Danio rerio: one gene and its partner. The protein of the gene in region 1 interacts with the protein of each later gene in a pairwise test. Links are inferred from orthologs where the notes say so. Each region holds a gene or a part of one and is shown on either strand. Other genes may lie near its edges. The genes, in order: hax1 and sav1.

Evidence for each region.
Region 2: the proteins of hax1 (region 1) and sav1 interact in binary tests that used the Homo sapiens proteins (3 or more experiments, as listed by UniProt). The link is inferred for Danio rerio from reciprocal best matches to the Homo sapiens genes HAX1 and SAV1.

What each region holds. Positions count from the first base shown.
Region 1 is NC_133194.1:8,858,109-8,861,969, forward strand, and holds the end of hax1 (HCLS1-associated protein X-1), read left to right. Parts: intron 1-734; coding exon 735-913; intron 914-991; coding exon 992-1,055; intron 1,056-1,532; coding exon 1,533-1,657; intron 1,658-1,802; coding exon 1,803-1,926; intron 1,927-2,944; coding exon 2,945-3,009; 3' UTR 3,010-3,303; downstream 3,304-3,861. UniProt on the Homo sapiens protein: Recruits the Arp2/3 complex to the cell cortex and regulates reorganization of the cortical actin cytoskeleton via its interaction with KCNC3 and the Arp2/3 complex. Slows down the rate of inactivation of KCNC3 channels. Promotes GNA13-mediated cell migration.
Region 2 is NC_133188.1:40,254,180-40,258,012, reverse strand, and holds part of sav1 (protein salvador homolog 1), read left to right. Parts: intron 1-265; coding exon 266-415; intron 416-3,736; coding exon 3,737-3,833. UniProt on the Homo sapiens protein: Regulator of STK3/MST2 and STK4/MST1 in the Hippo signaling pathway which plays a pivotal role in organ size control and tumor suppression by restricting proliferation and promoting apoptosis.

The DNA of each region.
Region 1 (3,861 bases):
CTAATTGAGTGAAAGTGTCTAGGCCAGTATCTACACCAGTGCAAATAACCACAATCGCGCATTTTCAAACTGAGACAGAACTCGCGGACTGCTGCTTTACAACTGACCTTATTGAGTTCAAATACAGTTGAAGTCAAAATTATTCGGCCTTCTGTGAATTTTTTTTAGTATTTTTTTTAAAAAATCTTTCCCAAATGATGTTTAACAGAGCAAGGAAATTATCATAGTATTACCTATAATATTCTTTCTTCTGGTGAAAATCTTATTTATTTATTTTTCCAGCTAGAATAAAAGCAGTTTGAATTTTATTTATAGTATTTTACGGTCAATATTATTATCCCCCTTAATCAATTTTTTTTTTTTCAGTATGTCTACAGAACAAACCATCGTTATACAGTGCCTTGCCTAATTACCCTAACCTGCCTAGGTAACCTAGTTAAGCCTCTAAATGTCACTTTAAGCTGTATAGAAGGGTAGAAATATCTAGTAAAACATTGTTTACTGTCATCATGGCAAAGATAAAATAAATCAGTTATAAGAAATGAGTTATTAAAACTAATATGATTAGATATGTGTTGAAAAAAATTGTTTGAGTTAAACAGAAAAAATATAAAGGGGTCTAATTAGTCAGCCTTCAACTGTGTGTACATTCTCTAACTGATTGTGGTTCACAATTGCACTGGTTTAAGTGATGATACATTTCTAGCATCATCTGTTCTGCTTCTTCCCATCAGGTTTCCCGTCAATAGAAGCTCCACCTCCACAGGAAGGAGTTGAGAAAGGCAGGAGTGGGACAGGAAGTGGGAATCCCATCAGAGATTTCATGTTGAAGTCTCCTGACCGCTCACCTAAAGATCCAGAGCACAGAGAGGATTCTCCACCAAATCATCCTCACAGGAGGCCTTTCTCAAAGGTAAATCGAGGTCTGCCAGTGAATATCTGCAGTCTCTCCATTCCAGCGTCTCATCTTATTGGCTTTCTTTCATTTCAGTTCAACGATATTTGGAAAGATGGACTGTTAAAACCAAAGGGGGAAGACAAAAGGGAGGATGGAGGTAATGCATCTTGTGCAGGTTTTCACAACAATTATACAAGTCTGAGAGCAGATATAGTTCTCAAAACCATTCAGTAGGTTTCCATTTAATTTTTTTGTTACAGATAAAGCTGATGGATTTGCTAATTATTGATTCAATTAAGCTAATTTGACAACCTTTTTCTTTAGCGGGGGATCTCTGTATATACTAAATATTCTAGATTACCTACTTAACGAAGGATAGCGCGCTACTTAACAAAGGGTAAATGCAAATTTAATTTAATAATGGGAAAATATAACATCTAATTTATGTTTATTTATATTGTATTATAAATAGTTTTTAAATATCATAAGATGATGAATGTCACATAAAAACGTAAATTAGCAGAAATTAATTTACAAACACTCTAATTTACATAAGGTAATCATCTGAGCATTGCTGTTATCATCTTACAGATGTTCCTTCAACAAATCTTTTGTTTTCTTGTTCTTGCCTCAGATCTGGACTCACAGGTGTCTTCAGGTGGACTGGACCAGATCTTGAAAGATCCAGCACCTTCACAGCCAAAAACAAGGTCATTTTTTAAGTCTGTCAGCGTCACCAAGGTGGTCCGACCGGATGGAGTGAGTGGATCATTTTGTCTTCAATACTATTTCTAAATACAATCATTGTAGAATTATATTTCAGGCTGTAAATATGCTCTGCATTTATGCTTATAATAACGGAGAGTGTGTGTGTCTCTGTCTGTCTGTCTGTCTGTCTGTGTAGACTGTAGAAGAACGGCGAACAGTCAGAGATGGAGAAGGTAATGAAGAGACGACCGTGACCATCTCAGAAAGGCCAGGTGGGCAAGATAGGCCAGTCCTGGATCAGTCTGGTCCTTTAATGCCAGGTTAGTGGTTTAATAATCTTTTTTTCTGTAAATAAAGATTATTAAGCTATAGATTATGTTTATTGTACTTTACTTAAACTCTATCCAATGTATTTATTTAATGTATGTTTATATAAAAATTTCATAAAAACAAAAAACAAAAAATGAATAGTTATAATTAGATGTGCAATGTTTGCATACATGTTTGCATACAGTTTATTATTTGAGTGTGGATTATTAAAATTATATATATATATATATATATATATATATATATATATATACAACAGTTCTGTCTGGTTCTCAAATCTGATTGGCTGATAGCCGTGCGATATTCTGCAATATCAGAACTCCTACAGCCTCTTTACCCTTTGTGTATTACTCCGCCCACATACAGCCAGCAAAAAGCAGACACTACAGATCTAAAGTTTAAAAGATGCACGCTCAACTGTTTAACTGTCAGCTTATGATTTGAATCCAGAAGAAAGTAGTTCCTCATACAAAAGGGTTTTTGAGACTCTCCTTGTTTGATTTTGTTTTTATATACACAATTATGCTGTCAAACTGTTGTATAAACGCAATATCACACTCGTAGCAGTGTGATATGGCTGTATATCGGCAGTGGTGTGGGCACAACGCACGGCTCCCACCAGTGCCGATATACAGCCATATCGCACTGCTACTCGTGTGATATTGCTCATATATATATATATATATATAATATATATATTTAAAAATATTTATTGTAATTGTAAAAATATTGTAATTTAAAGAAAGACAGAGACACAATTTAAGTAAACTGCTACTTAATAAAAAACAAGCAATTTTATGATTAGTTTTCTCCACCGCTGTTCCCCAAAAAGCTAAGATCTCAAAACCAAGGATCTTACTAAAAGTTATCTATGCGTATCATCCCCCCTTAGCATTAATGTTAATAAAATGTCTTCACATTTACATAAAGTCTTTTGCATTTACAGTATTTGTACATTAGACATATTTATTTGTAATCATTCAGTGATGTGTTTTCTGCATCTTTCAGGTGGTTCTGACATGCAGGATGATTTCTCCATGTTTTCCAAGTTCTTCAGAGGCTTTCGAAGTTAAAAGAGTTTTGGAACCAAAACCGAAGGACAATCTCTTTCCCGGCAAACCCACCACGATCACAATATTTCATTCTTAAGTATATTTGTGGAGATCCACAACATCAACATTGATCAAATATCACACAATGAACCTCAAAACTCTGCTGACTTTTTCATTTTTTATATAATTTCCATTAAAGATATGCAAATAATTATATAGACCGAACTTTGGGTTAGTTGGGTTTTGTTCAGAAATGACACTTTAATATATTTAAACATTTTATTTCAATAGGTGTAAATAAAAAAACTAAATGAAGTCTGCCTTACGGTCTCATGAATTGTTTTCAGGAACATCTAAATGTGGAAGCTGGCATATTTTCTGTATCTGAAGAGCACTAATTTAAGCAAACAGCTCTTTTTATTGGATAAATAGAGCAAACGCAGTACATTGTATTTTTAAGTGATTCTAAATGTAAGAGAGCTGCTCGTTTTGACAGCTGCTTAGCATTCTGAGGTCAAGTCAGTAGTAGCAGCTCATCAAAATTTAGTAAAGTAAGCTAGCAACTAAAACTAAGGGAAAACAATAATTATAGGATGGATTTGGAGTTGGATTCTTGTGTTTCTCATGTATTCTTGTAAACTGACAGTCTGAAATCTGCATTCACTTATATAGTAGGTACACGGTCAACTTAAAAATGGAGGAAGAAAGATCATTTAAAGGGATAGTTCGCCAAAAAAAAAAAAATACTCACAATTTATTCACTTTCAATCTGTTCCAAACCTTTATAATTTTCTTCACAAGAGAAGATATTTTGAAGAAAGCTGAAACCACTGACTACCAAAGTAGATAAAAACAAATATCATGCAATTCAGT
Region 2 (3,833 bases), on another chromosome or scaffold:
CACTTTTATATGCTTTTATTCTAGCTGAAATAAAACAAATAAGAAAAAAATGTTAAAGGAAATACTGTGAAAACTTCCTTGCTCTGTTAAACATAATTCGGGAAATATTTTTTAAAAAAGGGGAAAAAAAAATCACAGGAGGACAAACAATTTTGACTTGAACTGTATATGATATGTGTATGTTCATTATGATAATATATTACTGATTATCTAGACTGTTTGATGCCATTTTGTTTTTAAAATATGCCAACTCTCTTTGTTTTAGTGTGCCTCGTTATGACCAGCCCCCTCCCCCACCCGTCACCTACCAGCCCCGCCCACCAGAACGCAACCCGCCTGTACTGGTACCAGCAAACCCGTATCACTCAGCTGAGATTCCAGACTGGCTACAGGTGTACGCCAGAGCTCCACTAAAGTAAGTTTCACACTCTCACACAGATTGTCCAACATTAAAGGTCCCCTCAAGTGCCTTGAAATGCAGTTTTGTTTAGCGTGTGATGCGATTTTAACTCTAACACAATGATTCTCATTGTGGAAACTCATTTAGCGTGTGGTGGCTTTTGGTGGTGTGAGATTGCTCTTTGGGAGCACAGGGGCTTAAGAAAATTTTGGCAAGTAATAATATCAAACCACTGTGCCATGGAGAATAAGGAATGACCAAAACAACAGTTTAAATATTTAACAATGTGATAGATTGGCCCGTTAGTGCTACCCCATCATACCTATTTTTGTTTCGTGATCTGTTAATACAAAATCACAAGACTTTTTTTTTTGCTGTGTATTCTGGAATTTATTTGGCAAATGTGATTACATTGTAGTTTATCTATGGATAAGTTTATCCTACTCTTTTTTTTTTTGCGATATTCCATATGTGGATGGAAGCTTATAATAGTAATGCTGGTCTTGTCTAGGTAATTTACCTAAAAAAAAAAAAGAATAATTTAAATGACTAGTGTATATGATCCAGTTATGTTCTTGTGTCTCTGAAATCTTATTTACATTGCTTAAATTGTTCGTCCCTTGTTTAGTAGCACTATGTGCCATTTGAGATACTAAAGAGCATTTCGATTGGTCAGACAGTCTGATGAGAAGCTAAAGTGCTCTGTCATGGAAAATTGTTCGGAACTGAGAACATGCATGTTTTGAATGCTTATATCTTCTAAAAAAGATGCTGTCTTTGTTTTAAACGCATACTAGCTTATAGATGACCTTAAAACTAAAATATTAATACTAACACCCAAAAAACTCATTTCGATTTTAGATGGACTTTAATCTGACATAATGTACCATCCAGTCATTTATTGTAAAGGCCTTAGTTTTAATTTGTAGTGTTTTAGTTAGGAAGTGACATGTGATCAGTGTAGGCATGATGTAACTGTAGATTGTTTATGGTTGCTGAACAACATTGCAGCTTGTTGCATTAATATGGAATTCAGCTAACGTGTGGTAACAGGTGGGCAACTATGTATATCAGCACTTTTACTTTTTACAGCTCTACTCTTCTAGACATATTTTTAACACGGTTTATATTTAACTACAATTATATTGTTTATATACTGTTACAGAAGTGATTGTGTTAAATTAGCTTTTTCTTTTTGTCTGGTTTATTTCAATTCAATGACAATATTTTGAGTCCATTTTAGTTGACTTTCCCAGTGATGGATTGCAGCTGGAAGGGCATCTACTGCGTAAAAATGTGATGAATAAGTTGTAGGTTCGTTCCGCTGTGGCGACCCCAGATTAATAAAGGAACTAAGCTGAAAATATATTTATGAATGAATAAATGAATTTTAGTTGACAACAGTATATTTAACAGTGTTTAAGAAATAGACATGTCGATTATTTTAGTTCAATTCTAGTAATTATGTTGCTTAAATATCTGCTCTGTTCATGCCACTTTTTTCAGCTCTGGTATGTGGTGAGTTTTTTGCTGGAGGAATCTGACTACATACTTTATAAATCCCCAGTTTGCATGAATGCAAACTCAGAAGAAGGATCTGGGAAAGTGCTGAAGGAGATGTGGAGAAGACTTAGCAAACCATTTTCACATATTTTGGAGATGTCAAGTAGGGCTGGGCGATTTGGCCTAAAATCAAAAACTAGATTAAAATTTTAACTCTATTCTGATTAATGAACAATTTTTTTGTTTGATTTTATTTTATTTCATTTTTTGCCACATAATTCACTGAGAGGTTTTGTTTAGTAAATAAGCTCACATATCACAAGTGACAGATTGTTAAATGAAGAGTGCATTACTTGATTTTAAAATAATTGAAGGAAACACACATTATCTACAATCTATGATTATTTATTGAACATTAACAATAAACAACTGAATGAAAACACACATTGTCTAAAACCAAGTCACTTTTTTCCTATAAAAAGGGAAAATAAATAATGTTTGGAAACAAAATTAATCGTTTTCGATGTTTTTCATATTGTAAGTCAAAAATAAGCTGCATCTCTTCTAAATAAAATACACCTGTAGATCCTGTAAATAATATTCTAAACAGTCAATTTCTTGCATCTTCTGTAAATAAATAATTTTATTGAAATATTAATTTATTCTTATGGAAAATATGCTGTCTTAGTGCATCTCTAGCGCAGCTTCCAATCATTTTCAATGTAGTGCAAACGTGTGACTTGTAGTTAGGTAATACAAAATATTTTAGTGATGGAATGGACATCTCTTTTACAACAATTTACTTGGAAAATATACCTGTAGCAGCCAACTTTAATGATATAAGACAAGTATTTATTAAAAATACTTCTAGCGTCCAACAAGAAAACTGTAACTAGAAAGCGGCTCGAAACCTTTACAAAATTGGAATGATTTGCTATCGTATCTAATGTTCAAAGGTTCAAGGAGGCCTCAGGGAAGACCCAAGACAGGCTGGTGGGACTATGGGCGTACTCGCACTACTCGCATCGAACCAGGCTGAAGCACGCTTGTCCATCCTCCTGTCTCCCTCAACGGCCTGCACTCTCATTGCATTCGCGACTAAGCACGCTTACGTCATTGATGATGCGCTGTGAGAAGCGTTCTCGCTCAGCACGGTGGACATTTCTTTATATCGTTTTAGTCGTTTGGGATGCAGCGACCCTCAGTGAAATATTTCACTGAAGAGATCAGCCATTTTTGACGCTCATAAACAATCATAATGTCCTCAAGCTACAGGAATTAGGAGGTTTGCTGATGGTGCAGCTGTCGTGCAGTGAGGGGTTTGCGTTTTTAATAATCTACGACAGTTTGCATTCATTGAACAGTATGAATGATTAATAAACCCATATCCAACTGTCCCTTTAAAGAAACGTCTCGTCTTCAGTTTCGGGCTCAGGCGAGCCCAAGTGAATCGAACACCTCTTCCAACTGGGCCTGGTTCGGCCAACTGAACTGCGCCTGAGCCCGATTCAGAGCACTCGCACTTCTCAAACAATCCGGGAAACAGGCCTGAGCATGGTTTGGATGGCATAGTTTGAGTACGCCCTATGTCTCTCGGCTGGCCTAGGAAAAATTAAGTATATACTTTTTTTATGTAATTACATCATAAATAAAAGAAAAACCATCAAACTAAAACCTTTTTTATTAATCAAATATTATATATAATATGATAAAATATAATATAGTAATAAAATATAATATTCATTGTTTTTCATTGACTGTTTCTTGCAACCCATAAGTCTGGTAGAGTCCTGATTCATTAGTCGTGTGTATGTATGTGTTTTTCCGTCCCAGATATGACCACATCCTGAAGTGGGAGCTCTTCCAGCTGATGGATCTGGACACATATCAGGGGATGCTGAAGCTGCTCTTCATGAAGGAGCTGGAGTGC